Linked DNA regions of Oreochromis niloticus. The protein of the gene in region 1 purifies or fractionates together with the protein of each later gene. This does not show direct contact. Links are inferred from orthologs where the notes say so. Each region holds a gene or a part of one and is shown on either strand. Other genes may lie near its edges.

The links.
Region 2: the proteins of l3mbtl1 (region 1) and anapc1 purify together in Homo sapiens (affinity purification with mass spectrometry; 4 studies listed by BioGRID and IntAct, counting the BioPlex papers as one, with this or other methods). This does not show direct contact. The link is inferred for Oreochromis niloticus from reciprocal best matches to the Homo sapiens genes L3MBTL1 and ANAPC1.

The regions. Positions count from the first base shown.
Region 1 is NC_031984.2:24,629,298-24,646,066, forward strand, and holds the start of l3mbtl1 (lethal(3)malignant brain tumor-like protein 1), read left to right. Parts: upstream 1-10,201; 5' UTR 10,202-10,461; intron 10,462-11,527; 5' UTR 11,528-11,557; coding exon 11,558-11,735; intron 11,736-15,941; coding exon 15,942-16,123; intron 16,124-16,701; coding exon 16,702-16,769. Other genes in the region: eif2s2 (eukaryotic translation initiation factor 2 subunit 2), read left to right, coding at 21-204, 297-397, 520-649, 744-844, 1,499-1,647, 1,761-1,817, 1,932-2,017, 2,127-2,302; serine/arginine-rich splicing factor 6, read left to right, coding at 5,183-5,289, 5,725-5,885, 7,534-7,652, 7,764-7,966, 8,099-8,176, 8,327-8,849. UniProt on the Homo sapiens protein: Polycomb group (PcG) protein that specifically recognizes and binds mono- and dimethyllysine residues on target proteins, thereby acting as a 'reader' of a network of post-translational modifications.
Region 2 is NC_031978.2:10,095,755-10,112,241, reverse strand, and holds the start of anapc1 (anaphase-promoting complex subunit 1), read left to right. Parts: upstream 1-10,024; 5' UTR 10,025-10,217; intron 10,218-11,010; 5' UTR 11,011-11,034; coding exon 11,035-11,250; intron 11,251-11,620; coding exon 11,621-11,785; intron 11,786-11,993; coding exon 11,994-12,036; intron 12,037-12,121; coding exon 12,122-12,219; intron 12,220-13,678; coding exon 13,679-13,761; intron 13,762-13,990; coding exon 13,991-14,064; intron 14,065-14,149; coding exon 14,150-14,295; intron 14,296-14,373; coding exon 14,374-14,531; intron 14,532-14,796; coding exon 14,797-14,925; intron 14,926-15,061; coding exon 15,062-15,280; intron 15,281-15,533; coding exon 15,534-15,629; intron 15,630-15,748; coding exon 15,749-15,839; intron 15,840-16,487. UniProt on the Homo sapiens protein: Component of the anaphase promoting complex/cyclosome (APC/C), a cell cycle-regulated E3 ubiquitin ligase that controls progression through mitosis and the G1 phase of the cell cycle.

The DNA.
Region 1 (16,769 bases):
TTTTATTCACTCTTTTTCAGATGATTTTCGATCCCAACATGACTAAGAAGAAAAAGAAGAAGAAGAAGCCCTTCATGCTGGAGGAGGACGGAGGAGAAGGGACAGGAGGAGAAGAAGCTAAGGAGGTGGAGACAAAGGAGGCAGAACCAGAGGCTGGAGATGACAAAGAGGTGGATCTAGATGAAGATGAAGGCAGGAAGAAAGGTTAGACTTTAGATCTATTTAAGGTGCGGTATCAGTTCACAACTATGTTGTGTAGAGTTAAGAGCTCAAAGGGTTTTTTGTTTTTTTTCCAGAGACGTCGGATGACTTGAACGACCTAAACTTCTTCAACCAGAAGAAAAAGAAGAAGAAACCCAAGAAAGTGTTTGAAAATGATATCGAGGAGGGATTGAAGGTCAGCCATTGATAAACATTTTCTGATTTTGCATTACTTTTAACTTTTTGCTTCTACTGATTTGGATTGGCTTACCAATAACTTTCACATGCTGAGTTTCACTTTTCACTTGTCCAAACCAGGAGCTGAAAATTGAAGGCGAGCAGACGGAAGCTATGGAGGAGGACAACCTGGATGTGAATTTCCTTACCAAAAAGAAGAAGCCAAAAAAAGTAGATTTCGATGATAGTGAGACCGCTGAGAAAGATGACGGTACGATGAAATCGCATGGTTTTGAAACTTAGGAACCGAAACAAGGGACAGGGATCTTTGACCCATAATGTAATTTTTCTTTTTTTTCTCCCAGCACCGGATGATGATGATGGCAAGAACGGTGATGGGATCTCCTTCAGCTCTTCCACAGGACCAGCCTGGGCTGGTTCGGAAAGAGACTACACCTACGACGAGGTAGGATGATACGTGAAATGAGAGAGTTAGAAACAATTCTGGAAAGGCAGAAAAAGAGCTGTCACAGTTGTTTGTGAAGTTATTTCCTGTAAAGTGGGATAAATATTAGACTGTTTTTGGTTGTTTTGTACTGTGTGAGGCTGTGTACGCATAGACATAATAGACTGTTGTATTTTTCTCTCTCTCATTAATAAATGTCCTGATGTTAAGACCTTAGCCCATTTGGTTTTGTGAGCCCCATCCCCACAGATTTTTTTAAACTGGAATTACTTTGCAAACAGTTTCTGCCTGAATAGAGCCAGTGTCCACTAACTTAGTGCTTTTATCTACATTTATGTTGAAGTTGTATTGAGTTTTGCACTGAATATTTAACGGCATTAAATGTACTTTTTGAATAGAGTTGTTAAAATCCCCCACTTATTGTTCTATGAGGAAATGAGTGAAACGGTTTGTAAAATTATAAAGGTGGATTTACCAGTTTGAGAACAGGGTTTATAAACAGCACAGATTTACACACTGCTTACCTTTTTATTTATTTTTTTTATTCTCAGCTGATCCCAGAGGGCTCTGAACTTCTGTCCTTTTATATTCTGTATTGAAAACTTTATGAACATAGACAAAAAAAACAAAGTCACAGTATTGTCTCTGTTCCAGCTCCTGAACAGAGTCTTCAACATAATGAGGGAGAAGAACCCCGACATGGTGGCTGGGGAGAAGAGGAAGTTTGTGATGAAGCCTCCCCAGGTGGTCCGAGTGGGAACCAAGAAAACCTCCTTTGTCAATTTCACAGACATCTGCAAACTGTGAGCCTCGTGTAGCTTTTTATATTTACTGACAGATGCATCTCAGTGACACTTGTAGTATGTGTGATTCACAAACTGATATTTTTATGTTTTTTTCATGCGATTAATCACAGGTTGCATCGTCAGCCTAAACATCTCCTCGCTTTTCTATTGGCTGAGCTGGGAACGAGGTACGCTTTTTGTATTTTAAGTGGTGTCAGTTCTCAAGCTAAGTTTGTGGCACGTTTTGTTTTTGTGTGTTCACTTTAAGTAAAAGTTTAATTTGCGTTTTTCTCTGTTAACAGCGGCTCCATTGACGGAAATAACCAGCTTGTGATCAAAGGCAGATTTCAACAGAAACAGATAGAAAATGTGTTGAGAAGATATATCAGTAAGTAGGAATGACATGTTCTTTACAGTGAAGTTACATTGATGGGGTAAAATTAAACCGTCCCTGCTTGTGAACAGTAATGTTGAGTGGACTGTTCTCACCCCTGCAGAGGAATATGTGACGTGTCACACCTGCCGCTCACCGGAGACCATCCTGCAGAAGGACACTCGTCTCTATTTCCTGCAGTGTGAGACGTGCCACTCCCGCTGCTCCGTTGCCAGCATCAAGACCGGTTTCCAGGCTGTGACGGGCAAGAGGGCGCAGCTCCGCGCCAAAGCTAACTAAAGGCCATTAAAACTGGGCTCCCCCCACCTCTTCTCACGGTCCGATCTTTCCCCATCAGAAGGGCCGAAGCTGGGGTCGGGCGCCCGCTTGATCTGCTAAAAGGACTCTCTGAATCGAACTGCGGGAGGGTTTGGCTGTCATTTTGGTTGTGTCACGGCCTGACCTGACAGGGAGTGAGAGTGTCTAAAGATGACAGATAGGGTTCAGGCACCTGTTAAACAACAGATGTTTGACACATACACTGCTGAAAGCATTTGATTTGTTTGGTTGGTGGACCCTCCAGCTCTTAGGGGTTTTTTTTTTTTGTTTGTTTGTTTTTTTTCTGTTTCCTATTTGCTGTGATTCTTGATTCCTCCAAAAAAAACCTTGATTTAACACAGCTTGAAGTTTACTTTTTGTTTATTTTCTCCCACTTTACATGCACCAGACATTAATATTTCTTCAGATTAGCCAAATTGTAGATAAGGTAAGTTCATCTACAGTAACAGAGCCTAGGAATAGTTTTTTTTCTTGAACTCAACTAAAGGGTGTGTTCATGTTTCTGCTCTTGTCCTAAATGATAATACAAAAAACTGTCAGTCTAGGATTTTCTACTCAAGCTTATAGAGACAAATCAGTCACGGGGCTGGAGTACATACAGGAACATGTCACTGAAACTAGTGTGTGAGGCTCCTAACACAGGACCTGCTTTTGATCATTTTGTAGCAGGAGACACAAAACCAGAAGACTTGGGGGCTGATGAAGGGGAGAGCAACATTAAGAGTACTCTAATAAAGGAGGCTGTTTATGAGACGAGTAGAAATTATTATTATACAGTATGTTTGTGAGTGCTTTTGTGGCACTGATGAGCAGTTTGTGTACTTATTTGATTAGAAAATTTTGTCAGCCACTTGAGGTTTGATGAAGTCAATTTGAAAATAAAGATTCAATTTTTCTCTTTTTTTTTCTCTCTCCGATGAGCAGGATTCATGAGCTAACGCCAGTCACTAAAATAATAAAGTAATAATAAACAACTTCTGAGCAGGCACCTCAGATCGTCTCCTCCTTCAGGTTCCTATTTTGCAGTGTGGTTAAAGAAATTTACACCAGAGTCTATCAATAAGTATCAATCTTAATTGTTTTGAGAGGAATGTGAATATAAAGGTCTCGCTGGAATCATTTTAAAACCTGGTTTTTACAAAAATAAAATATTCTACTCTCTCTCTCCACTACTTTCTCTGCTTGCATTAATGACAGTGCCTGTTTAGTAATTGTCAGTCATGGTAATGACGTTATGATGTTTTCACTCTGTCGCAATGGAAAAAGGTCGTAATGATCAGTGAACGGCTTTGGCTCTCGTCATTATGCCCCCCTCGCTTCACCCGTTTATAGATATGGCCATTTTTTTCGAGTCCCATTAAAATATTTAAGTCTTATTTGTGTGACTTGCTCAGATGTGATTGACGGTCCTTGTGAGGCCCACGGTTTGCTGTAATGATACAAACACAGACCCACAAGGTTAAAACATGAGCAGCTGATAACCATGGTAACTGGAGACAATGTCCTTGAGATCGGTAATAACATGTCGAGTTGCAGATTTATTTGGAACCTGACTGCAGGATAATATGGAAACTGGGTGCCATTGTTAGGTTTCCTCTGCAGGCCCAAATGTCACTATATCATTATATAATAGTTGTTGTTTTTTTAGCTGTGCTTAAACTACCAGTATGCAGGCGAACACATCAATCACTGATTTATAAGTCACATAAATCTGTCATAACCAGCCAGACTTAAGCACATAGCCTATCAGATAAGTACTCATTAATCTCCACCACTTGCCATATTATAAATGTGTTTCAACAATTTTATACAGCCAAACCATGGATGTTTAAGTTAAATTCACAAACTTTGCACTTATACTATTTGGAGTCAGAATATGGATGCTATAGATATAGTTCGCCAATTTATCCAATAGTTATCAAACCATTGAGGCTATGCTGTCTCAGTTCTGCTTCACTTTGTACAACTCAGACTTTCAATCAGTGCAACTCCAGGTGATGTCGCCTAAAGAAATACTCTGATTCTGCAGCAGCTGGATGTTTAAGTGATGAGGAGGAAATAGGCATTCAGAGCAAAAGTTAATGAATTTGTGGAGTGGTCATTGAGGAAGTATCCACTTCTGAATGTGAATAAGACCAAAGAAGTTGGTGACTGACTTTCAGAAGGACACGAACCGTGTGTATTCTGGGACAGACTGCTGATGTGGTGGAGGACTATGACTACCTGGGTAACCACATGAAAGGCCAGCACAGAGGCTTTAAACAGAAATTATAAATGATAGAGATAATCCGTCACGCAGCTGTGGGCCATATGCATCAGAAATGGTAATACCAACGGAGTGAATAAACTGAAGGCTGGTTCTGTGATTGGCTGCTAACGGGAATTTTTAAAGTCAACTTTATTGCAATAGAGACTTTACTATTCCAACAATTTACTGTTTAGATGTATGTTTTTTTAACTACCTAGTTTTTGTGACTGGAGGTGTTTTCTTTTTCTTTGTTTTTTTTTTCCTTTTTTGAATTAGTTAAGATGATCTCTGTATGTACCCAATGCAAACTACAGTTACAAAATGCCTCTAGTTGGAAATGACTGGGGTAGATTTTACATAGGATTTAACTAGTATTTTCCTCTCCTGTGCGTACTGTCTGCGGTTTTGTGTGATAAACGGTAGCTTTTAATTTGAAGTTCTGTTCCGGAAATTGATCATCGTTAGCTTCACGCTTATTGGCTGGATTTGGCGAAACAGCCGACCGGTTGCTGGCGCAGAGCTAACGGTAGTAGCATTCAGCAATTTCGGAGCAGTGGAAAGGAACAGTCGAGAACCACTGTAGGCGAACCACAATGCCTCGAGTTTATATCGGACGACTAAGCTATCATGTCCGCGAAAAAGATATTCAGCGTTTTTTCAGCGGCTATGGGAAGCTAATGGAGATTGATTTAAAAAACGGGTAAGTTTTCGGCGGAATTTTGTAAGCGAGAGTCCAACTAGCATGTCGTAGCTAGCATTAAAGCTAGCCATTCATGCGAACGACGCACGGACTCGCGGGGCATTTCACTCTTACGCAGATATATATATATATATATGTGTTTATATTTTTTTACAAGTTAAGTTTGATTCTAAAGGACAATATGTCGATGTCTGACATTTAGCATTGTCCTTGTAAATCTAAAAGGTTTTGTTTCTTTAACTTCATTCATGCACGTTTAGCAAATGTCGCGTGGCCAACATGGCGTCCTTATACTGTGCACGTCGCTGTGCTAACGTATGCTAACGCTAATTAGCTAGTTGATTCGTGGAAGTAAACGGGAACGCATTGCTTAAACTAATTTCATGTGGTTTTTAGTATTTCATACTCATGCATTTAAACCCTTTCTTTTTGCAGGTATGGATTCGTGGAGTTCGAAGATAATAGGGACGCCGACGACGCCGTTTACGAGCTAAACGGGAAGGAGCTGTGTGGGGAGCGGGTGATCGTCGAGCATGCCCGGGGCCCGCGACGAGACCGAGATGGCTACGGTGGGGGTTACTGGGGTGGTGGGCGCAGTAAGTGCAGTCTATTACAAGATACCCTCTCTTCCCCTTCCCCTTGGGGTGAGGTGTCGACGTGGACTGCACAGACAGCTGTTTGAATGATTCATGGTGACGCTAATTTTAACAGACTTGCCGCATAGGTTTACAGATACTCAGCTGGCCCTCGATCAGGTTTTTCCAGCTACCCCTCATGGGTTATAGCCAGCCGCGTGGGTAGCTCTTTAAGGCGCAGGTTGCATGCAGAGTTGTAGGACTGTCAGTAGAGCTATTGTTCATGTTGTCCATTATATCATGCAGTAACTTCATCACATGCAACCATGATTTATCTTCATTCTTATAAATCAGGGAGTCCAGTTTGGTTTGATATCACCCTGCTGAACAGTTCTCAGTCTGTCACCCAAGGGGTAGTGACCTGCAGGTTTTTGCTCCTCCATAGTGATTATCATCACGAGCTACATGCTATTTGATACTGCTTTATTTGATTGCAAGGGGCAACAATCTGCGAGATTTAAAGAGCAGTTTTGAGTCTAGAGTTTAGTGTTGTTAAATAACATAGTTTTCTTATCATACATTGTAAAATTCACTTGAACCATAACTGTCATTTGGGTGAGCCATGTGAAGGTGTCCTTTCTTTTTTGCACCAGAGGGGGAAAAAACAAGCTGAACACAAATCACGACATGCATAGCTACCTAGTTAGTGTAGTCATTAGGAGTAGACTAACATTTTCATGTGAAATGTGTTTTAACTTTGGTCTATATATATATAAATATATTTTTTTTTATATTCAACATTAACAAAAGTCCTTGATGTTTCAATTTGAAAGAGTCCAGTTGCGGGCTGAGGCTGAGAGTCCATTGAGGCTAAAGATGACTGGCTAAGATGACTGCCTGTCCCGTTTGGCCTTGGCTTTCACCTTACAATGTGTGTGTGACCTTTGCCCCCCCTTGATCCTTGGCTGACCTAACCGGAAGCCATGATGACAGCAGCCTTTTGCCAATAGACCAGGGGTGATGGTGAGGATTGCCATTGGTTTTTATGTTGACAGCAAACATAAGTGGATCGGCACCTTTACAGACCTTACAATCTAAAGAAATGTTGTAAGTTCAAAACTGGAAAAAAAGAATTTCAGACTGACATCCGGTTAAATAAAAAGATACCAATTTTCAAAAGATTGGTGTGTTTTTTAACACCGTAATCAATTTGAACAGTGTCCCTGACTGCAGCCTTTGTGGATGCCTCCTTTCTGTTTGTGTTACAGGATACAGAGGTCTTGAAAGAACATCACTGTCCATTTGTTTTATGCAGCTATAGCATCACAGAGTGATGTACTGGAGTAAGACAGATGCTGATTTGTGTTTTTTGTATTGCCGGAAACAGATGCAGTGGTGTTCTTTGCAGCAGAAAACAGCTTCCAAATGCTGAAAAATACAAACTTTAAAGAGCCCATGCAGTTGCTTGTAGAGCACTTAACTGAAGCTGTTTGAAAATGAGATCAAAGAAACCCCTTTGACTGTTAGTACAAATTTAAAACCCCCCAAGGACAATAATCTGGAAACTCACTGCCTTGAGTGCATTTGATAGCCCAGAGCAGTAGTACTTTGAATCTTGTTTGGTTTAGTGGTTTCTAACTATTTGTGTGTGCTGTTGTTTTTTTTAAAGGTAGCGGTTACAGCAGCCGCAGCCGCTCTGGCAGGGACAAATATGGGCCGCCAGTCCGCACAGAGTACCGCCTCATTGTCGAGAACTTATCCAGCCGCTGTAGTTGGCAGGACCTCAAGGTAAATATTTGAAAATAAGAGAGGGGAATCTTCAGATAAAGGGAAAATGTATTGTATAAGTGCTTGGTTTGAAATCAATACTCGGCACCTCATCCTCTTCCCGTCCACCAGGACTTCATGCGTCAGGCAGGAGAGGTGACCTATGCAGATGCCCACAAGGAACGCACTAATGAGGGAGTGATTGAGTTCCGGACGTATTCCGACATGAAGAGGGCTCTGGACAAGCTGGATGGTACTGACATCAACGGGCGGAAAATTCGCCTGGTGGAGGATCGTCCTCGCAGACGTCGGTCTTACTCTGGCAGCCGCTCCAGGTGAGCAAATTTCTTACTGCTGACTGCTTTTTAAGATGAGCCTTCCTTTTGTACATTTTGTTGCTCAAAGATTTTGTTTATTTAACAAGAAACTGATGTAATTTTTTCTGAATCATGCTCTGTCATCTTCAGATCTCGCAGTCGTCGGCGCTCCCGCAGCAGGAGAAGCAGGAGCAGGAGCTCAAAGAGTCGCTCCAGATCCCACTCGAGGTTAGGATCAATGTAATCTTGGAACAGTAACATAGAGATATGAATTAAATTATTGGTATTGATAAGTTCTTTGTTCAGTATGACATTTTGTCCAGGACATTGCTGTCATGTAAGGTGGGGCTGTACTGAGCTTTGCTTCTGTTCCTACAGGTCTCGTTCCCGCAGCAATAAGAGACGGCATCATTCCCGCTCCAGGTCTGAGAGAAAGTCTCGCTCCAAGTCAGGAGAACGCAAATCACGTTCTCGCACTCGCAGGTCTCGTTCTAGATCCAACAGATCCAACAAATCCAAATCTCGTTCACGCTCTCGCAAATCTCGGTCTCGCTCAGCCGAGCACAAGTCCAAGTCTCGTTCAAAGAGCCGCTCTAAGGTAAAGTCGGAGAGGGATTCTCGTAGCCGATCAAAGGAACGGTCTGCTGAGAAGAAGTCCCGCAGCCGCTCACCCTCTCCAGTAGAGAATGGAAAAGAAGAGCATGTGGCCAAATCTGCCTCTCGCTCCCCGTCTCCACAGGAGGAAGAGTGCCGATCCCAGTCCAGAGAAAAGCGCTCAGCCTCTCGCTCCAAGTCTCGCTCCAAGTCCCGATCCAAGTCTCCCTCCAAGTCCCGTTCAAAGTCCCGTTCAAAGTCCCGCTCCAGGTCTCGCTCACGGTCTAGATCAGCTTCTCAGGATTAGTGGGTGTAGAGAGGGGAGAGGTTTTCTTATTGTTTAGCTTGATCATTATGCTGTACATACTGAGCAATGTTTAATAACTGGTTTATGCTTCTGAGGCCCCCCCCTTCAAATGTACATTTGTCTTTTAACTTGTTAAAGCAGGAGTTTATTAGACCATCAACCACAATACAGCCAATGCTTTTTGGACTTGTTTCAGATTATCTGCTCCCTAAAAAAATAAAAAAAAATAAAATAAAATTTAGAATTTTGGATTAATGAAAATAATGGGTGCTGGGCTATACAACTATAGCCTGAGGAAGTTAATGTCTCTGTAACTGGTGCCTGATTTGGTAAAGTTTAGGTTTCTTACTGTTCTGCTTTCATTTAAAGTTGTTTGTTTGGTCAGTGAATATTAAGTTGTCTAAATGTTCTTTTATTCAGTTTGCAGCAGTTTGTTTTGGTTGTTAGTCTGACAGTTTGCTGTCCTTGTCTCCAGGCCTCTTATGTCTGAAGCATCCATCTTTGCTTGGTAATTATTTTGTGTTGTACTCATTCAGCTCGCATGATTGTTGAAGAGTAGGCTCCAGGACTGGAGCATTTGAGTTGTTGACCTGCGCATTCAGTCGCGTTCTTCGACGAATCAGTTTGTCTTCGTGTTAAACAATGAGTATTCAGGATGTAAGAGCTTGTAGTGCAGAGCTGCTTAATTTAAAGCTAATGAGGGTTTGGACTTACGTTTGAATAACTTGCATTGTAGATGGATTATTTTAACTACTTGTACATAGAGTAATCAGCACAAAGCAATTGGTCCCTTTCATCTTTTTGTAGCTTTTTGGGGGGAGGAGGTTTGTAACATTAAGCAGGTGATCTATTAAGGGCCTTTATTTTAGTTTTTGATTTTCAGTTTGACTAGAGACTCCTTTGCATTGTCCTGTTTTTCCTCAGATTCTTCCATTGCGCCGATTGCTTCCCTGGTAATGTTGTTTTCCCTCCCCAGCTTCAGAACAGACTGAAGGGTTTTGGACAGCCTTATTTAAAGTGTGCAGCTAGCACTGTTTTTGTACTGGAAAGGTCCATGTGTTCAGATCTCCTGTGAGTCTGTAAACATCAGACTCGCTGAATGCAGCCACACTCTCCATCTTGTGGAACTGACTTTTTTTCACCCCCCCCTAACATCTGAGATCCAATGGGGGAAAAAGTCCTTTTTTATGCTATGTTCAATAAAAGATCTTCATTAAAAAAATAAACTTGGTGCCTGACGTTGTTTTGTCTGGATTATGAAAACCTTGACTGCAGTATTGACATGACCTATATCCTGCTAATTATATAATAAACGCTCGCTCATTATAGGCTGCAGTTGTGGAGGAAATGAGCAGAGCGCGTATTTATGGTTGTAAGCGCGAACATTTCACTTGCATGCCAAATAAAAATCGTTACAGCAGCTATTTTACAGTTTTGCAGCTAATCGAGGGAGCACTGTTATTATTTTTTTCACCTATCGACCATTACTGAAAGTGGAGCGACGCACTGGAAGTCTTTCTTTTGGCGTTATATTATAGCCAACGAGCGGTGACTGTACTGTGGACCCGCGCATGCGCAATCGGAGCCCCGGAGCCGCAGGAGATCAGAGCTGGTAAGCCAAATTTCAGTTCCTGAAAACCGAAAACACGAATTAAAATCAATTTTTAGAACTTTCCTCTAATTATAGAAGACAGAAGCATCTTTTAGTCACACTGGGTTTAAAAAGAAACCCGCCAGTCTGTTGTTTATTTTTTTTTTTCTCCCCTCACCGAGGTAAACCGTTTTTGGCGTCAGAGATGTAATCAAGCACAAAGCTTATCATCTTTAATATATAAATTTGATAATGGCTAGCGGATCTTTGACGTAGCCTGTTTAAATACAAATTTTAAATTTAAAGCAGTTGCGCCAAGGTTTCAAAAATACCCGGCACACTTAACGCTGTTATGAGGAGAAAATGTTGCTCATTCATTAAAGATATTGCCGGAATGGGCGATAAGGTTGCTTTTTTCATTAAATGGGATTTTCACAGGAATTGAGCCTCTGCTTTAGCACATTTTTTGCCTCAAGGATTTCAGATCCTCCGCCATTTTAACTGAAATGCTGTATTTTAGTCTCTGTCGGTGTGTGTGTGTGTGTGTGTAGACTTGGGAGCTTGCGCGTAAATATTGGTGTGTCACCATTATTCTTTTATTATTGGAAGGAATGCATGGTTTTTAAAAGTTCATTGCTGTTTTGCCTTATTGGAAATACTTTTAGAGGAAGATTTTTTTTTTTTTTTTGTAGGTTAAATTGTGTTACATTTTTAAAGTAAAATTTAAACTCTGTGCTGTACTTTGGATACATAGTATTTTATTGAATGATAAAAGCGGTGCTAATGTGGTAAATTAAAAAGATGTTTCAAGATAGCAGAAAATAACATAATAATTTAAGATTTGAATTTTGTATATGCCTCTAAATCGGACATATTCCAATAGAGAAATATATTTATTTAAAAACAACAAACAACATAAAAATGAAAGCTTAAATTGGCGGGATTCCTCTGGCGTCCATACTGTGGCACTCCCTCCTCAGGTTTTGGGTACAGTCTCCTCCATAAATCTTTAACACACAATGTTAAAGCTGTTACCCTATAACCAGACAGCATTACTTTGTGTTATTTCTCATGCTGTGTCTCCCAGTGCTCCAGCACAACACACTGGGACGCCGTCATGAGTGCCAAAGTGAACATGGAGGCTCCAGCCAAAGAACCGGACTGCACCCCTATGGATCCGTCATCTTCGTCTCCCACAGAGACAATCCTCATCTGCGGGGGTGATGGTGTGGCCAAGAAGGCTCGGCCTCAGCCCCACACCACCACTGCTCTCCTGCTACCAGGTGAACTCATATGTAAGGATGTTCACAGATACATACTCTACTAAAGCACTGTTGGGGAAAACACTGATAGTGTCTTCTGACCTCATTAGACTGAAAAACGAATTGAGAAGTGAGCCTTTAAGTAACCAGCAGTGTAATCATTTACCAGGCAAAGTGTAAGGTCATAGTTCAGAATTTACACCTGCAATGTTTAACCTCATTCACAGGCATCACATTACAAAACAAGGGTCGTTTTAATGGTTGACTTAATAACATCACATAGAAATATATACACAAAAGATGCAACTCATCTTATTAGGTCCCTGTTCACAAAGCTGTGAGTTTAAAAATCAACTCTGAGTCTTCATTTCCAGAAAACCTTCATAGACTTACTAAACGGCTTCAGATCATTCTTTCAGTAATTCAGGTCAGGCTTATCGATGAAAAATCTGCATTTGTGATTAAAAAACATCCAATGAAAATTAATGTTAATTAAAAAGTCATCTTTTCTTTTCATTGAACAAGTCATGCGCTTTAAATCTCAGTCTAATAAAATCATTAGCTGGATACATTTAAATTAAAATGTAAAAATTTACCTCTTTTACTTTAGGAGAGCAGATTCACCATGGCAACAGGTAAACAAGGAGCAGAGCCTCGTTTTAGTCCGTTTAGAAGTGCGGAAAAGAGTAATTTTATTGAGCCACGGGCCGTTCGATCATCATCATACACAATATAAATGTTCGATATGAAATATCTAACTTCTCTGTATTGACTGTGGTGATTATTTAGCCAACTTTTTATTAGATGAAGCTGGAGTTCTGATTTTTTAACCCTAATGATTGAGCTGTAACCTGACAGGGACAAAATCTAGGAGACGTCCGGGAAGATAAGAATCTGGAGAAACAGACGAGCCACACTTTACTGATGGACCTGTGAGATTAGTAACCGATACGGCAACAGACAGTCTGCCCTCAAGTCAGTTTTGGTTCAGTAAAAAAACAGTTATTGCAGCAGTTTATAACCATTACATTATTTTTCCAATAATTATTCAGTAAAAATTTAATGTACTGATGGGCTGTAAGAATTTCATTTTTCACAGAGGATTTCATTATGTCTGCCATTACTGGATAAAAGTTTTTAATTAGATTTAGAGGAAAAACTGTGCTTTAATGTTCCCCAGTGTAAGCGTTCATAATTTTATGGAATATCAGCCTTCAGTGATAGATGATGGCTCTCTTACGGCAACAGTAGAGATGTTTTACTCAGTTACTGGTTGCCTGATAGTAAGACTTTGCATGTTACCATAGACAAACATGTTTTTAGAAATGTCTCAGCTTTTCTAGAGCTGTTTACAGATATTTTAGTGTAATTCTGGGAGGGTGAGGCACTTTCAATAAGGAATACAGATTGTATCGGGACAAATTAAGCCGCTATGAGTGGATCTGGTGGAGATGAGCCGGATCCAGACCTGATCCAGTCTGATTCCATGATGCTTATCTGAGCGCATCCTTAAACGTCACTGTAAAACAACATTGAACTCAGTTTTAGTCTTTTTAGCCTCATCCTTAATCAAATATTCTCAACATCCCCAAGACCCAGCCGTGACAGTCATTTTTCCATCAGTGTGACTGATTACAGCACAACACATGATTGATAACTTAAACAGTGATTGCTGCAGCAAATGTTTAAAGTGTGGGCAAACTGACTGACAGTGTGACAGCTGCATTACTGTCCATAGAGATTCAGCTTTAGAAAGACCGAGACTATAGATTTAAATCTGAACTGACAATAAGTCTAAGATGTAATCGCTGTCTCCATCTTCATGTTGATTACTGATCGATTATAAAAGTGGTCATGTTAGGTACAGAAAACAGTGAACTAAGCATGCCCACTTCTGTGAATGAATTTGCCCCGTTGTGCAGTTTGACAGCGACTTTATGAATGAGAAATTAAACTGCATGTCAGTTCGGGCATAACGAGAGGGGAGGAGTCAGAGAGAGAAACTTGGTAACCATGGTAACTACTCAGAGTTGAAGTTACCTCTCGTTCAGGGGAAGAAAACCAGTGTTTCCTTCAATTTAGGTTTAACAAATTCAGAGTTGTTTACTAAGCCTGCTTCCTGGAATCGGGCCGGCTTATGGTTTAAGGACTGTTAAAGATGCTACATCCACTACCAGTCAAAAGTTTGGACACACCTTCTCATTACTTTAAGAACTGAAGGTCAGACAGTCCGGAAAATAGCTAAACCTTGAATGCAGTGCAGCTGCAAAAACCATCAAGCGCTACGATGAAACTGGCTAACATGAGGACCGTTCCAGGAAAGGAAGACCAAGAGTTACCTCTGCTGCTGAGGATAAATTCATCCGACCAGCCTCAGAAATCGCAAGTTAACAGCAACCCAGATTAGAGCCCAGATAAATGCCGCACAGAGTTCCAGTAGGAGACATATCTGTACATCAACTGTTCAGAGGAGACTTTGCGAATCAGGCCTTTATGGTCAAATAGCTGCTAAGAAACCAATACAAGCAAAAACAACAACAAGCAGAAGAGATTTGTTTGGGCCAAGAAACACAATTATCAAAATTAGCACAAACACATTAGACCAGTGGAAATCTGTGCTTTGGTGTCATTGTCCAAATTTAAGATCTTTGGTTCCACCCGCCGTGTCTTTGTGCGACGTAGAAAAGGTGAACAGTTGGTCTCTACATGCATGGTTCCCACCGTGAAGCATGGAGGAGGAGGTGTGATGGTGTGGGGGTGCTTTGCTGGTGACACTGTTGGGGATTTATTTAAAATTGAAGGCACACTGAACCAGCATGGCTACCACAGCATCTTGCACCAACATGCCATCCCATACGGTTTGCATTTAGTTGGACCATCATTTATTTTTAACAGGACAATGACCCCAAACACACCTCCAGGCTGTGTAAGGGCTATTTGACCAAGAAGGAGAGTGATGAGTGCTGCGCCAGATGGCCTGGCCTCCACAGTCACATGACCTAAACCCAGTCGAGATGGTTTGGGATGAGATGGACCACAGAGTGAAGGCAAAATGACCAACAAGATGCTGAGCATATCTGGGAACTTCTTCAAAACTATTGGAAAATCATTTCATGAAAATCATTGAGAGAAGGCCAAGAGTATGCAAAGCAGTAATAGAAGCAAAGGGTAGCTATTACGAAGAATCTAAAATATAAAACATGAGTTATTTCACATGTTTTTGTTTACTACATAACTCCATATGTGTTCATTCTTAGTTTTGATCCCTTCAGTGAGAATCTACAATTTAAATAGTCATGAAAATAAAGAAAAAACATTAAATAAGAAGGTGTGTTCAAACTTTTGACCGGTCGTGCATAGAGTTCACTCAGCCACTCCTCACTGCATGTGCAAATCCTGACAAATCTTCCAATGCCTGTTCATAATTATACAATAATTTTGAATGCATAATTTTTAATTCAGAGTTTCCATGTTCAATATTATCATGTTTGTTTGTGAAAACCTTTAAGTTTTGATGTGTTGGCCGGACAAAGCAACACTTTCTGAGGCGTTAGCTCTAGCTCACCAAAGCTGTGGAAGTTTTTTACTTTTTTAATTTTATTAACAAAAGAGTAAATCAGGTAATTAAAACTGTGTTTGTCCAAAATAACAACAACATCAAGAAAACAGTTTGATTGCTTCCAAAATCTCTGCTCTGTATTAGAGAAACCAAGACTGTTGTTGTCACTTAAAACTGAAATAAAAACCATAACAAAGTTTTGGGGGGAAAAAACACTTTAATGAACTGAAGTAAAAATTAAAATCAGACAGAATTTATTTCCCGACATAATCCTCCCATTTATCCGACTTGGCATTAGAAGCACATAAGCTTGTGACCCTCTCTGAGGCCGGGTCTGTGCCCCTGGGATCTTTTACAAACGTGTTAATCACTAATAACAATAATATAACACTAATAAGCAGCAGATACTGATTTCTGTTGCAGTTTCTCATGTCAGAGAAATGTGCAGTAAAACTGAGTGTGAAAACTGAGTGATGATATTAGCAGCTGTTTAACAGTTTTGTGAATCGTGCTGATAACCAAGCCTGTCTGTAAATCTATAGAAACAAACAAATACTATTTGCCTGGTTGTCACGGCGACAGAGCGCTGTTTTTCCTTTACCATTTATAGTGAGTAAAGCAGAGGACAATGAACTACATCACTTTGTGCTTTATTATTCCAAGTGCATCTTTTTCCTCAGCTCCTGCCCATCAGAAGGTGGAGGTGACTCCAGCTGTTGCAGTGGGTAACCCAGGTAAAGGAAGCAGAGCCAATGAGATGGCCACGCCTGCACTGACAGCACAGGTGGGCGGAGCTTGTAGCATTGTCCATGTCCTAGAGTTGAAGGAGGGGATGGCCATCCTGCCCAGTAGCAACCTCAAGGTAAAGTGATATTAAGCTTCGCTGTGGTTTAAAAAAAGTCATTGAAAGTTGTTTTTATTTCTTTTTTGACAAAGTCCTGAAAAACTTCTCACATGTATAAAAATCAGCTTAGAATTTTATTATTATTATTTTACATGTCTTCATTCAAGCATTTTTTATACGCCAGCAGTGAGCAAACTGAGCGCCTAACTGCTGATGTGAACAAAGTTGTAATTTAACAGTCTGCTGAGAAAGAACTTGATTTGAGTAGTTTTAAGGAGAGCACATCGACAAAGCTGAACCACCTAAAGAAAATGTGATCCTCGTTATTGCAGATTTAAAAAAGAAAAAAGGATATGCTAATCAAAATAAGAATACAAATCTTTAAAATCATCATATTTAGTTTTCTTTACTCTTTAAAGGCTGTGAGACAGAACAGACAAGAAAGCAGCAACGATAATATATATATATATATACATATATATATATATATATATGTATATGTATATTTTAAAGCAGCATACAGTTTGTAAAGACACGGACACATTTTGACAGATGGTGCACTGATGCGTGTGTGTGTGTGTGTATTTGTCTTGTAGTTCTGTGTGAGTGACTTAGGAGCTCTGAGCACACTGATCACCCCGGGCACCGCCAGCAGCACCGCTGA
Region 2 (16,487 bases), on another chromosome or scaffold:
GCAACGTGGTATCTAGCTAGCTGCTTTCTCTGGACAGCTTTACTTTGGCCTCTAGTAACAATGTCAGGAATCTTGGAGTCATTTTTGACCAGGATATGTCCTTCAACGTGCATATTAAACAAATATGTAGGATTACTTACTTGCATTTAAGCAATATTCCTAAACTTTCCTTTTTGACAAAGCTTATGGTCAGATCTAGATCTGGTGACCCTGAACCCACACTTCTGCTGCTTCATGCTTCTTATGATTAATGATTCATGTTTATTGAGGGCGAAAAATCGTGTTTTTGAATGTTTGTGTTTTATATCACTAAGAAATTAATCATTAGTTATTATTAAACTCTGCCTCCCTTCCACAGGTCACGGCAGATGGGTGCCCCTTCCTTAACCTGATTCTACTTGAGTTTTCTTCCTGTTAAAATTTTAACAGTACCATACATTGTTACTGTATCATAGACCATGAGATCAAGTATTTTGAGAAAGGCAGTGGGTCTGAGGTTGATGAAATAGCATTTTAAAATATCACAATGACACTGTTTTTACCATTTCTGATGAAACACTCTCAGGCAGCAAACCAACATGATGAGATGATGTTAAGATGACAAATATTTGGGGAATTCTGGGCTATATACAGATGAGGACAAAATTCTTCGTCCACCTTTTGAAATTTAACGTTATTGTCAAAATTTTCCCAAGTGCTTCTTTAATAGAGTATGCGATTTTCAGCATACGTAATGGTATCTAAAGAAAAGTTTTTCACATAATAGAACTATTTCAGGAAAAAATAAAAATGACCAGGGTCAGTTTAATTAGCACAAAGTACTGATGGGCAACGATGTGCTTTAACTTTGCAATGCTCAAAGTTTGTAAATTCAAGTTGAAGCTGAGACTGATCTTCCAGTTTAAACACAGTATAAAAGCAAGGGCTTGAGCTGTCACTTCAGAAAGCATCATGTCAAAAACAAAAGAAATCAGCTTAGACTTGAGAAAAAGAACTGATGATTTCCACAAAGCAGGAGATGGATAAATAGAGCATCTCCCTCCAAGAGTTAAGAACTAGAGTGAGAAGTATCATCAAGAAATTCAAAGAGTGTCACACAATACAGAACAAGCCTGGCAGAAGTAGGGAACAAAATATTTCAAATATTTAAAAAAAAAAAAAAGCTATCAAGAGATTTTTCTGAAGACCACAGAACAACTGCCAAGACACAAGTGAATAAAGTCAGAATTTGCCAAAGAACTGAAGAATTGTCTCAAAGTAGACAATCACTTGAACCTTGCACAAGAATGGACTACAGATCAAGAAAAACTCCTCTGCTGGAGAACAGACACCTTCTAACTATACTGAAGCATGCATACGGAAAGTGTGCCACAAAAGGCAGATGAGACAAAATTATAGGTCTTTTGCAATGCTGCTTGTCATGGTCAACAGGCAGGCCAGACTCAAATGCAGGAGTCAGAAAGCAGGTTAAGTGAATTTATTTTTTATAGTTCATGTAGTAAATTAACTATTTACAGAATCTTCTTGCAAGGGGTAATCCACAGTCTTTATTTACAAAACAATCTTCAGGTAGTGAGTCCAAGTCTGCAGAGTTGAATCCTTGCAAGCACAGAATCTCCTCCACAGTTCTCTCCCTCACATGAACACCATAGCTGGGAAATGGCCAGGATTCTGCACAAAGGAGATGGGAGATTAGCAATCCTCAGAGAGATAAATAAATCCAGACTTCCAGGACAGCAGGATTCACTAACACAGGCAGTGCAACAGTCAGGCAAAGGATGAAGGTTTGTCTCCAGCTTAAGTAGGCTGCCAGCAGATTAACTGATGATGAACAGGTTCTCGCAGGTGTGCCAAGAGAAGGGCAGAGATCCAGGAAGACCCCACCGTAAGGTAAGGCATGATTATCCACACACACACACACACACACACACACACACTCACACACACACACACACAGAGAGAGAGAGAACTGGCAGGGATGTCTAGGAGGAATGGAGGACCATGACAGCTTCTTATGTTTGAAAAGAGAAGGGAGAGGCATATGACTCAAAGAACACCATCCCCACAGTCGGACATGGTGGTGGGGATATGCTTTAGCAGCTTTGAGAGTGGAACTGGGAATCTCATCAACGTAGAAGGAATCATTAAGAAAGAAGAATATGTGAAGATTCTAAAAGTAAACCTCAGGCAGCCAGCAGGGGGATTCAGAGCAAACTGGCCCTGACTTCTATCGCATTGGGATATTCAGCTCACCCACACACTAACAATTTGTAGGGTGAACTGAAGGCCAAAGTCAGAAAACTATCAAATCTGGAAAGCTTCAGAGACTAGCCAAAGAAGTGGGAATGAGACTGTTTAAGAGACGTGTGTAAGACTTCTTGAAAACATCAGAAAATTACTGCAGGCAAAAAGGATGACTAGTTATTAACATGATTTTGATCCTGTTAGTTTTCATTTTTTTTGCTAAATAATTTTACTTCTGTGTCCAAACTAACATAAAAAAATAAATTAAATTAAATAATTTAAGCATCCAAAACAAAATTAGGATGTTTGTAAAGGCTGTGTTGAAAAACCCTTGCTCTGTTTAAGAGCACTTGGAAAATACTTTTGAAAAATAAATTGTTATCGGTCTAATAATTCTGTATATAAGCAATACCTCCAGGTCCCCTTCTTTTATTTAGTCATATCTCTCTATATAAATAAAAATAACATCTATGAAAGTTTCAATATGTGTCAAAACTATAATACAGATTAGATTTTCAGATTAAATGGGGTAAATGATATCTAATTCGTTTTAGCATATTTCTGATATTGCCAAACACCAAAGTTATACAGCAGTCTAATGCCTTTGGATATATGGTATAACGGACTGGTTTACCTGGCTTTATACAACTCGTGCATTCACCCAATCATTTCTAAGGATTTATCTAAGGTTTTTAGTGCTTCTATCTAGCATTCACACTCCGATGGCAACATGGGGTCAGTATCTTGCCCAAGGATATTTGGCATGTGGGCTGGAGGAGCCTGGGATCGAACCACCAACCTTCCAGTGAGTCGCTCTACCACCTGAGCTATGGCCACCCCAAATATACTGGGTGATTTAGTATTACATCAAAATGGTCACCAGTATATAGGCACTGATGCTAACTGAAAACAGTTATTGATATAAATGGTTCCTTGGAATAACTTGGAATAACTTGGAATAACTTGCATGTAAATGTTGCTGAACTGCAGAGCTCCTTCAGTGACAGACTGCTGCATCCTAGATGCATGAAGGAGCGTTTCCGCAGATCCTTCCTCCCTGCAGCTGTCAGACTGTACAATCAGAACTGCTCCCAACAAACATAGATGTTTACATCAGCACTGTAACTGCACTAAGTTAATTAACCGATTCGCACTACAACCTGGTTTGCCTCTTATCTGTAGTTATTTATATTTAATTTAATAACTGTACAGTACTCTCTGTATATAGTAACCATTGTCCTTAATGTAAATATGTAAGAAAAATTGTGTATGTTTCTGTTCTGTGTCCTGTGTACTGTTTGTTTGTATATATGTCTTTTTGGCTGCTGTTACAACCAAATTTCTCCTTGTGGGACAATTAAAGGATTATTCTATTCTATTCTATTTGCCAGTACATAAGCTCATCCCTGTGTCATATCATTAGAAGGGCCTGTTGCTTCACTCTCTCTGGCTGTTAATTAAGTTGTGCTGGATCACTTTTGTAGATACAGTGTCACATGTGACACTGGCTCACAACTTCTAATAGCTTAACATGTTAGCTGTGCTCTGCTTATCTTCTGAAAGAAACAGCTGACTTCCCCCAGTTTGCTTACTCTCTCCCAGCTCTCTCTTTTTTGAGACTTTAAAGTTTCTTTCTTGGGGACTCATTAGGAGTCAAATGCATAGAATAAATGATGTTTTTGTTTCATAAAGAAAAGCCTAAATCTGCAGCCACACTGGAAATGATTTGCACCAATATGGTGACCATAGAACATAGAGAGTAAATGATATTCAACAGTTTCAAAGTTGTAGCAAAATGATGCAGACGTTGGTTAGGATTATCCATGATGGGTAACAGTTTATTAATGGACCTCTTCTATATTACATCTTTAAAAGTGTCTAATTTTCTGCCATCACAGAGCCAGCCTTCCTAATCAGTTGGGTCTGTTGGAGTCACCAGGTCTGATGCTGCTCCCTACACACTGTGCTCACCAAAACTGTGAATCTCAATCATTGTGTTGCACACACTGAGTGATCTCAGCTTCCTTAGGAAACAGAACCTGCTCGCTCCCTTTTTGTACACAGCTTCTGTGTTCGTCTTTCAGTTCATTCTGCTGTTAGTGTGGTACTTGTACTCCTCCACCACATGAACATCCTGTCCCTGGACATGTTGTGTAGTCTTTTCTCTATGAAGTCAGTCACCATTTCTCTGGTCTTATATTCAGAAGCAAATGATTAGTTTAAGATCACTCCTCAAAATAATACTCTCAAAACTAGCAGCCTCCCAAAAGAAACATGAATTATGATATGAATTAAGTATTTATAAAACTTTTAACACACTCACAAACAAATGAACAAAATGCAGTGAATAAACAAAAGAGAAATCTAAGTCAAATCAGGGTGTTACCACCCTTTGCCTTCAAAACAGCATCAATTCTTCTACACACACTTGCACACAGTTTTTGAAGGAACTTGTCTGGTAGGTTGTTCCAAACATCTTGGAGAACTAACCACAGATCTTCTGTGGATGTAGGCTGTCTCCTAATGTAATCCCAGACACACTCGATGATGTTGAGATCAGGGCTCTGTGGGGGCCATACCATCACTCTTCTTTATGATTAAGATAGTTCTTAATGACTTTGGCTGTATGTTTGGGGTCATTGTCCTGCAAAATGAATACATTTGGGGCCAATAAACAATCATTTATATTTATGAAAGCATTCTTTGTTTAAAGCAATTTACACCTGCCTAAAACTTTTGCACAGTACATTGTATATGTATATATACATTAATATATTCATCTTAATGGTTTATTAATCTACTGAGACTTCGTAGTTAATCTTGCTTCAACTTTTTAAATGACACCATGAACACATTATGTATAAGCTTTTTTTATCAAGAAAAACATGTATGTCTCTATTTCTAAATCACATACTAAGGAGGAGTAATGGGCTATAAAAGTACTCTGCCCTTCCCCTCCTGCCTGTCACCAACATTTCCCACAACTGAAGGTTCGTCAGAGTATTTCTGTAAGTGGCATGACACAGAGCTGTACTGAAAGTCTGAGATGTACAGCCCTTGTAACTTACCAGTTTACACTCTCACAAACATTTCCACGTATTTATAAATCATCCAGTACTATTACACTGTCATATACAAGTTTAACTTTTAAACACAAAAGAAATACTAATGAAAACTAAACACTCAAAATTAACACATTTATATTACTCATCCCTCTGAAATTGGCATTAATTATTTTTCAGGGGAATTAAATTTGCATTGTTTTTTTTTTAAGTGAAGCCAATTTATCAAAATTTACAGTGTTACTTATACTTAAGCATTATTTAGTCAAATCTAACCTTAAAAAAAAAAAAAATCTAACCTTACAATGGAAGTGGTTCGCCTGCATTTTATTTATAATAACCTTGCATGAGAAGTGACTGAAGATACTGAAGGTAAAACTTAAAAGTACGGAGCTTTAGACACCCTTCAATATAACATATCCACTACTGAGAGGCTTGAAAATGACCATAAAGTGAAACCAAATTTTTACTTTTAACACAGGTTGCTGAAATACATTCGATTATATTGGTGCTTCTGATGTATTTGTCAAACTGAGCAACAGCTGTGATGGAGTGAAATGTTACAAAGAGCCATCAGTCTACTCAGATTCTCTCTTTGCTGCTCACTTGGAACATTTAAGCAATTTCTCTCAACTACTAGAGTGCGACTTTATCAGTGTCCCTCCCCAGCCGGCTTCAGTGCGTCACCACAGCCCCTCAGTAATGAAGTCTGAGCATCTATGGCAAGATGACCTCACCACAAAGAGCCAATCTGCCACAGCTAAAAGAGTGTAATGAGGTGTCTGTCATGGTTATATGAGCGTTATATGTTGAGATATAGTGTTGTAAAGTCTTCATTTTCATGGAAAGGCAGCATGAAAAAAATCCAATTTTATCCAATATAATAACAGCTTGTGCAATAATTCTTTTTGTTCTTTTGTACTCAGCAACACCTTAGAAGGTTGCGCTGCAGTAGAATTTACATAAATCAACTGTGTTTTTACAACTTTTACTGTTTATATAGTTTTTCTTAGGGCCAAATAAGTCAAGCTGATATATGAAAAACACATTCTTATTTATAATGCCATGGAATTTAATGGTCCTTGTCGTTTTCTAAATGAGGAAACTTTGTTTATGACAACAAAATTATCAGTTGAAGTTATGAAATTTTGTGTGTTGATGTATGAATAGATGATCCTTGAGAGCTAAAAACTTTTTCCTCCCTAAAAAATATTGTATTAGTTAGAAATTAGGAATTAGTAATTACTACATTTTTGCTAATTAATTATTGTCCAGTTACTTTTGAGAATCTGAAAATCCTAAACATTTCATACGACAATATAAGATTTATTAAATCCACTGTAATGAATTAAAGCTGAATCTGAACTTTCTTTACATCTTGATTGTCCGATTTAAAATCCGCGTGGTGGTGTAAAAAATGCAAAATTACAAAAAATAGCATTTTTGTCCATGTATTTAAGGACCTACCTGTAAACATTTTACAGGCAACAACAACTGCAACAACCTGCCATGGAAGAAGAAGAGGAGAAAGGATGTGGACTGCTATTTAGATAGCGTTCTTTTAGTGTTAGAAACATGCTTATGAGTCTAAGCTTGTTTAACAAGAGGGTGCCATGGTCCTCAGTATTTGACCCAGTGTTTTAAGTTTGTTATTCTTTGTTCTTAGTTAAGAGTTTTTTTTCTCATCTATTATTTCCTGTGTTCTTGGAATGATAGCTTATGTGCTCGAGTTTTTCGATTCTTGGTTATAATTTAGTCCTCAAGTTTCAGTTAATGTCTATTTTCAACTAGCATTCTGCTTAGGGTTATTTGATTTAGTCTCTTGTGATTTTCTTAGCTTTCCTGTTAGTGTCAATTTTGTATGCTAGTCATTGTCTCAGTGTTTAGTTACTTTATCTTTTATTTTGCTAGTCACTTGTCATGTCAGTTAGATTCTGTGGCTGTTTCTTTGCTCCCTAACTACCTCTTATGTGTATTTATGCCCTGAGTTTTCCTTAGTTCTTTGTCATGTCCTCCCTCATTTGTTGTGTGTCTCCCTGCATTGTGTTCCAGTGTTTTCTGCCCCTGTTTAGGTTTGTTCTGTGAGTTACCAGCAACATAACAGAGTGTTTGAGTTGACTCTCGTACCCCATGTTCTGTATTTTGGTCCAAATCCTGCTTGCTACATAACTGAACAGGACAGAGAAACTGTAGAAAATATGAAGATGCCGAGAAGTCCAAAAGATTTTTCAATGTTGGCAGTATTTGTTTTTATTTCAGTATAATTAATGTTTTCTCATGCAAATGTGAGTGTTTTCATGCTTTACAAAGTAAACCTAGAATGTGAAACTCAAGGTTTTTGCGATCAGCATCTGGAGAGTATTCACTGATACAGATCAGTCAATTATACTCAGAATGAGGCAATAATTTGGGGCAGAAGTCATTTAGTGCTAGTGAAAGCATGCAGGAGAGGATGATGAGAATTCAATTTAGAGCCAAAAATTGGTGTTATTTTCAGGCAATTATGTGAAATACACAATAGACTGGGAAAAGACAACAACTGTTAGTCAGAGATGGAATAACATTCTCTCACTTTATTTATCTGCCTTTCCTTCCCTGACAGACACATACTCCCCAGTGAGCTGCAGTGATATCATTTGTGAGAGTTAACTCATTCAGATCATACCTTGTTGCACTGCGACATCCATCACATCCATGAGCACCGAGCCACTCCCAGCTTCCTACATCAGTGTATTTTCTCATGACTGCGTTGTGCAGACTTTGATTTCTTTGAGGCAGAAGGATGAAATTCATGACATAACTGCTCTTAATAATATTGGAGTAGGCCTAAATGTTTTCTTTTTCTTATAAATAACTACAGTAATGATGTAAACCATAGCTTTTCAAACATAGCAAAACTTGTTTAAAATGTGATTAGAAAATTAATAAAAGAAGCTAAACATTTAAACAGATGTGATATTCTTTTAAATGTAACATAAAAATTACAGTTTTCTTTGAATATTGAGTCTAAATATCTGTGTGACTTTGAAGACGTGCTGTTAATCACTCACTACTTCCCCCATTAAATATCAGCATATTTACTCCTAATTGAGGTGACAGTTATTTTCTCTGCTCTGTTTATTAATATCCTCCAAGTTTAACATCATCAAGTCTGAAAGTCAAACATCAGTGTTTGAGATGGTTTTTGGATCCAAACCTCATTTTGGTTATCAGTTAATTAAAATAATTTTCAATTTTTTTTCAGTTTTGTTTTATGTATTTTATTTAGCATACAAATAAAAAGTTAATTAATTAATTAATTAATTATTATTAATTAAATACTGAAAAATACATCTGATCTGTTTGATAAACTGAAATATCTGTCAGCCAGATAGTTACTGTTGCTGGCTATTTTTTAAAAGTATCATAAACATACAAGAAATTACATATAAATATTTCATTATTTTAAGTGCAAAGGATTTCATCCTCAAAAATCATGGTTGTTGTCAAACCACTATAGTCACTCTAGAACACTTACAGTGGAACTATTATGGTCACAGTATATTTAAACAGAGTGACTTTGCATTATTCACAGTTCTCTACTAGACCTTGGTAAAATTTATTCGCCGTCTAAAAATATTTTAGATTATCTTTCTTTAAAGCCATCCTCCTTTTAAACCCAATTTGTTGTGATAGACTGGCCCTCACATATAGAAGGGTTGAACAGCAGAAATATGGGGGTAATACATAATTAAATTACAGCTTTAAATAAATTTAATAGATATTCAAAAACGTTTTATTGCTACAAGACATAATATTTGTAGTATTAGAATAGAATAGAATAGAATAGAATAGAATAGAATAGAATAGCCTTTTATTGTCACTGTTACAAGAACAGTGAAAGGCAGTTTGGCATCTCTCCATGTGTGTGGAGTACACAATAGCGTAAGTATTTACACAATAACAGACAAATTTACATTTACACAAGAAAGATATGCACAAGTTATACATACACCTGCAAACATACACCCACATACACACATATATGTATATATATATATTTGCATCCGTACATGCATACACACACATATTTCCACATACACGCTTACATCTATATACATACACATACATGCCATCTAACAGTGCAGTGTGATCAGTGATATTGCACATTGAGTGTGGTGTGTGTGGGGGGGTGGGATGATATTGCACATTGAGTGTGTGTGTGTGTGTGGGGCGGGATGATATTGCACATTGAGTGGGGGGAGGGGGGGGGGTGCTGTTGGAACTATACTAAATAATGTTATAATAAATACAGTTTAAAGAGGTAAGGGTGTTGGTTGCATTGAAGTAGCCTATTGTGCAGTATTATTTATATCCTCGACATCTCTGAGCCTCTTGCTTTCCTTTCCGAAAGCTTTCACTTTACTGGAAGCCTCAAGTGCAAATTTACCAATGGTCTCTAATAGTAAATGTCCCTAAAGAAAGACATAAACAAATGAGTTTCGTTTTATTTATTTATTTTTCATCTTCAAATATCTATATATACCTAGATTTTCTACAAATACTGTTGGTATTTTATTTTTTAAATTATATTTTATATTAATTATATTATATTTTTAATTTGTGGCTGAATTACTTATATAAAACATCCTGCTCATCACAGTCTTTCTTAGTAGTGTCCATAGCGCTGACGAAGGCAGCCTATCAGCTGTCAGCATATCGCCTCCTCGCTGCTGATTGGCTGACTCGTGGAGGAATGGGATGTCGGGACAGCAAAGATGTCCGCGCTCATTTGAAAACCTGCTATAGGCGAATACGGAATTTGCCACTTGTCTTTATGTTTGTAGGGTGACAACGTTGTGCTCAAGCGAGACGCATTGAAAGGAAAGATAAGGACTCCGCGACAAGGGCCAGACTATTCCTTATTATCAGGTTAGCGGCTAAATGTCTCCCTGTAAGCTTAAAGCTAGCTGCAGCTAATGGTAGCTAGCATGCTAGTCGGGCCGTTTCAATGGTGTTTAGTGTCAGCATGCAGACTCATAGCTGACTGTCAAGTTGTATATTTATGTAATTTACAGCGTCTTAGTGTCTGTAGAGTACCGAATTTTGTTTGTGGGAGTTTTTGAGGTAAGAACTTCCAGCTAACTTCTAGCATGTCGCGTCTATCAAAGTCAACAGAAACTTGCTACGGTGGAAGTACTGTGGAAATTGTTAATGAGATTTCTATCCCCTACTATGTTGACCCCTCTAACGGGATAGTTTCAGTAATAGTAAAGGTCCAGTGAGCCTGCTTCAGCCAGCTAAGTTGTCGATGTGTTAATAGAGAACATTATTTAGCCACCAGTAATGCAATCTGTCCTACAGTCAAGTAAATGAAATAAAGTTATTTACGCAGAAGAAGTTTATTTACACCTCATCTTATACTCACTGGTATTTACTGTACTTTACAGATAGCCTACTGATAAAAGTAATCTCATCATTAATGTTATAAAGAGAAAATGAAAGAACAGTTTATGTGAAACTCTTGGTTCTTAAATACTACAGTAAACTTGTCTCGAGGATCCATACTTTATTTTTATCGTGTTAAATAATCGATATGAATACTACAGCTAAACGGACTGGTATGGCGCAAATTGGTGATGCTCTTCAGTTGTATTGTGTCTGGAAAAAAGTCTTGCTTGCTTTTAAATACTGTCATTTATACCTCAAACTCTGTTCTTCCCAGAAATAATGCTGATATCTGAAACTCATGTCGGAAGTCGTGTATGAAGAGACAGCCACGATGATTGCCGCAGGGGAATTGCAGTCATTTGTCCCGTTTGGCCGCGAGCACTGCAGGAACCATCCAAACGCCTTCAACCTGCAGCTCAGAGAGCTCCAGCCTGCCTCCGAGCTGTGGGCATCAGATGGTGCTGCTGGCCTGGTGGGGTCCCTGCAGGAAGTCAGTCTGCAGGAGAGAGAGAGGGTGAGAGTGTCTAGTATTATGATCTATAATGTTTCATAATAGGAGTGGGCCATCTAACAGTCTTATTTAATGGATAGCCTGAATTGTTCTCCTGACCTGCTCTTCAGAAGAACTAGTGTGTATTAAACAGTAAAAATATAAGAAGAAAAATGGTAAATGGAATACACCTAAAGGATTTAATTTTTTTTCATTAATATATCTTTAATTACTTTAAATCTTTACTTATTTTTTATTTATTTTTTACAGTAATATAGTCAATGCAATTGTTACAACACTGCTGCACTGCTTTCATGAAGGCAGTACTTCATGTGTTGTTAAGCTCAAATGTGGTTTTGATTTGGTTTTTGTGTTGATGTGATTTGAATGGCAGGAATTTTGGCAGCTTAGGAAGGGCTGCAAGGGAGTCAAAGAGGAAGATATGGAATTTGAAGAAGAACTCTATGCAGCAGGAAACGTGGTTGTCTGGAGCCAGGGTAGTAGGGCTCAAGCTTCCAGCGTATATAAGGCCTTCACTGTTGACAGCCCAGTGCAGCAGGTCTGTTTCTGATTGTTTTGTGTACTATATGGTCTCTCATAATTGTGCTTGTCCATTCTCATTTCTAAGGGCAAATGAGGGACCATGTTGTTTTCTGTCAGGAATCAGTATGGCTTTTGCTTTACTATATGGATTGTATATCGTCCGCGATGATTGTCAGGATTCTGTGCTCTAAGACTTGAAACAGTTTTTTTTTTATTATCTCCAGGCCTTGTGGTGCAACTTTGCTGCTCCTCACAAGAAGAATGATGGTACTGTGTCTTTTTGTGCAGTTTTTTGCTTATTCATATTGCAGTCCTGATGAACAAAACACAGAATGTATTTAATGTTTTGCAGAGGAAGAAGTGGAGCTCACAGTGTGTATTGTCCAGAGTAGCTGTGTTAATGTTCACACCATGACTGGAAAAGACTTCATCTCACCACTGCCCTTCCAGGTGAGGTATAGAGCAATGGGGAATGTTTATATCCAGAGAAGGAGATGGGTCTACACATGAGCCACAAAATTCTTTTAAATCTGTGTGACTCAGTTGGACCTCCACTACCTAAACTTCCACCTCAACACAGATGCACGCTGACATACAGCAGTAACTGCAGGCTTCTTTGTGTGTCTCCCATGTTCCAGAACGCTGCTGAATAAAAGGATAATTTGATTAGTGGATGCATAAGTCTCTGAAACATTACCCCACCTCGCAGCTGAACTAAAACCACACAACCCACCACATTTGGATTAGGGATATTTCTCAGAGCCATTATTGGGTAACCATTTTCTGGTTAACCAGTAATGATAGAAAATTTGCATCACTGACAGTGGGAAGTAAGTGTGTGTGAGTTTATGTGTGTGCATAGCTATGTGTATTTACGAGTGTCTTTCACTCAGTAGTCTGTTGCACACCAACAAAATATAATTTGATTTAGGGATGTGTTTTCAACATTTGAGTTTTGTTTTGTTTTGTTTTGTTTTTAAACTTGAGGCATGTGGAGTTCGTGATAAAGCATTTTATATTTTCTTACGGGAAAGGTTGGACACACACTCTTACTAAATAATTGAATTTAATAAAGAGGCAAGTAAACCGTGGGTTGGTGTTGTGAGAAAGGCAAGAAACACCTTGTGAGAGCCTTTGTGACAGGAAGAATCCCCACTGCTGTGGTGTCCCTGACACTGAAGCTCTCAGGGTGTTGCACTTTTCTTAACCTTTCAGTGCTGTTTTTAAGTGGCAGAGAATATCATTAGTATTAGTTTCAATAGAAAGTTATTTAAGATAATTTAAAAATAGTACAAGTAACCGTTTTTTAAAATAAGAATTTTAAAAGCTGAATTAGAACCCAATTGGTTGGGATGTAAAAAACAAAGTTTTGTGAATATTGTCAGTTTTTCAATATTAATTTATACATGGCTGTATTAAACTACTCTAGGAAAGCAAAGAAAACAAGTGGCGCATCTAGCCTTAAAATAAATATCTGACAGAGACTTTATTCATGATTGTTGGACAAAATTTAACCTAGCTATGAATTTTATTATTCACTGGTCGTGATGGATCTGTGTAAACAGAGTGCAGTTTTTTGTATCCTTTTATATGCAGATCAAAATATTGAACATTTTAACATTTAAGGGGGCAGCATGGACACCCAAGTTTGTGAATGCAATAATTTAAGAATGAAGTCACATAGGATTTTGAAAATTATACCATAGGTGTATCTACTAAAAATCTTGTACTAGTTTGAATCTCAGAAACCTTGACCTCATGAGAACAAGGCGATGTAAAATTTGGAACTGCATACTTCTACTAGGAGGCTGGGGAGTACCACCGGCTGCCATCAGTGTTTTTATAATTGTTGATACCAGACATCTGTTGTTAAAAATATTTCATGTCTGTACTGTCTTTTCTTTTCAAGGTGTCACATGTGTGGGCAACAAAGTTTGGACTTCTTATGGAACGTAAAAACACAGCAAATGATGCACAATTCAGCCCCCCTGGGTACATGCTAACACTTTATACTTCCAATCACATGCTTGCACAAGTACACGACACATGTTTCGATTAATCAATACATCCATGTGAAATAATGTAGTGACAAACATTTCTAGAATGATAACAGCCTCACAAACCTACACTGACCATAACATAAAACAGTGCGGGAAGTATATAACCAAGGGATTGAGCTCTTTTTTTTTTTTTCTTTTTTTTTCCCTCCCCCCCTACACAGGGAACCTCTGCCCACAGTGTTCAGCATGCTGCATCCTTTAGATGAGATCGCACCAGTTGTATGTAAACCTGCAGGTATGAGACACTGATCTTCTCAGAATGAGATCTTGTGAACTTATTTCATATTTTTCCTGAATTTGTACATATTTGTTTTTTCCAGGCCTGTTTGAAGGCTCCCGTGTGCAGTATGTGTCTGACTCCGCCATGAAGATAGTGTTCACCTGCTGTCAGCCATCTATAGTTGTATCATATGACACAGTTCAAGGAATACACTCTGTCTGGACTCTGCGCAAAGTCACACATGATGTGAGTGATCATGAATACACACAAACACACTAAAACCAACTAAGTTCTTCCTAAACTAAAGCCTTTTAACCCTATCAGGAGCGCTCTACAGTCCTGCGGTGTCCGGCAGAACCGGTCGGGACACCGTTGGGTCTGATGGCTTCAGGCTTTCTCACTTCTCATTTGCGGAATGTCTCCCGTCTTGACTCCCCTGGTGGCACTGGTCCAAGTGGGCATAGTCTTGGGACTGGAACAAGGTACTGAAAGTGAAGCAGCCTAATCAAGTGATTAGCAGACGGGCAGGAATTAGTTACCGTCTCGTTACATTTCTGAGTAGTTTCTAAAGCAAAAGTCCCACTGTCTAAAGATAGCTCCTCAGTTATTGGGGTTACTGCTGTGTCATACAGACAGAACAATAAAGTGATACTTAATGGATTATTTCGCCTTAAAAATAATTACAAGTTAAAAACTTAGAGACCAAAACGTCAACATCTGACCTGGTTACTGTTTTTCTTCCTGCAGTGCTGTTGGTTCCAGCTCTCCCCTCCACTACAGTGCTTTGCACAGCCACCAGAGCAGGATTGTCACATCCTCACCAGGAATTCACTCTCGAGTTCATTCTCCAAGTATATCCAACATGGCCGCCCTCAGGTGAGGTTAACTGAGCCAAAGAGGGCCATACTCTTTTCTGAAAGCACGTACTCATTCACTTTGTGACAACAGGTAAAAAAAACCCCCATAATAGTTAAAAACTGAAAAATGCTTATCCACTGTCCCCCTGTCTCAGCCGTGCCCACTCTCCAGGCATGGCAGCTCCATCCTTTTCAGGTGTGGCTCGTTTCAACACGTCTTTGCACAGCCCATCCCCCAGGGGGCACCATGGCTTGTTAGCTTCTCCCAACAGTACTATCAATGAGACAGTGTTGGTCCCAGAGATGGAACCTATCATACCTGACCTCTGCATGGAGCAGCTGTGGAGTGAGGCGGTCACTGCTGGCTCCAACAGGTAATTGGCAGCATTGGACTCTGACTTCACTGCAATATGCAGTGAAAACTCGAATGTTCTTGCAAAGTTGCTCATTAGCCTTTAGATCAAAGTTTGTGAGCAACTTGTTCTTCTTGTTTGCATAATACACAACTTTTTTTAAAGACATCATTTGTATTCTATGTAATACAGTTCTTTCTGTAGCTTGACGCTGTTCAGATTTAGCAAATTCTGCTGTTTGACATCAGTTTGCATCTCTTTTTACCATTTGCAGGGAAATGAGCAGCCAGGCATCTAAAGTATTCCTGACCTCTGATCTCTGTGAGAATCACTATCTGTGTTTCCTGGTGGAATCTCACCAACAGCTCAGGTAAACAAACATACACACATCTCTGCACATGTCCAAACATCTTTCTCCACCCTAATTTGTTGTGTAATGTGAGTTCACGAGTTAACTTTTTTTTTCCGTGATCATTTTATTTTCTGCAGATGTGTGAAGTTTATTGAGAGCAATGATACATCACAGCTCATCTTCCCCTCTGTCACAACCATCTCTGCTAAAGATGCAGAGCCTCTGCAGGTACATTATAAAATTCTATCATTGGAGAGTTGAAAGGGAAAGTGCAGAAGTTAAAACGGAAGAAAACACAGTATTCATTAGAGTCAGGGTCAATATCAAGTTTATGGTGCTGTACTGTGCTGCAAAATAGTCCTTAGCAGGCTCTTCCACCTTAACAAATTGTTGCATGGGTGGTGTAAAGTTGTAAGCAATGTGTAGGAGGCCTTCCTGTATTTTTTTTTTTTTTTAATCTTATCCGGATGATAACATGTTTTGCAAGATATAATTAAGGTTTTCCTTGCTACCTACAGGAACTAATGTGTGTGTGTGTATATATATATGAGATAAATCTCTTCCGCAGAGGATTTCGTGAAAAACTGTAATTAAAACTTTAAAAAAAAAAATTAAAAACTGTAATTATTGATCATAGTGGTTGTTATGTCCGGTCCATGCCTATCAAAAAAGTCCAATAGCAAAATATTTTTTCTAGTTTAGATCAGGTAGGTCATTCTTTCCTGAAACTTTTAGTTTTCTCCATCATCTGGATGGTAGAACTACCATGTGACCTGAAGTCTCCCAGGAAAACTATGGAGTTGGATGCTTGAATTTTGGAGCAGAAACCAGTGATTTATATTTATTCATTATCATTTCAACTTTTAAGTTATTTTT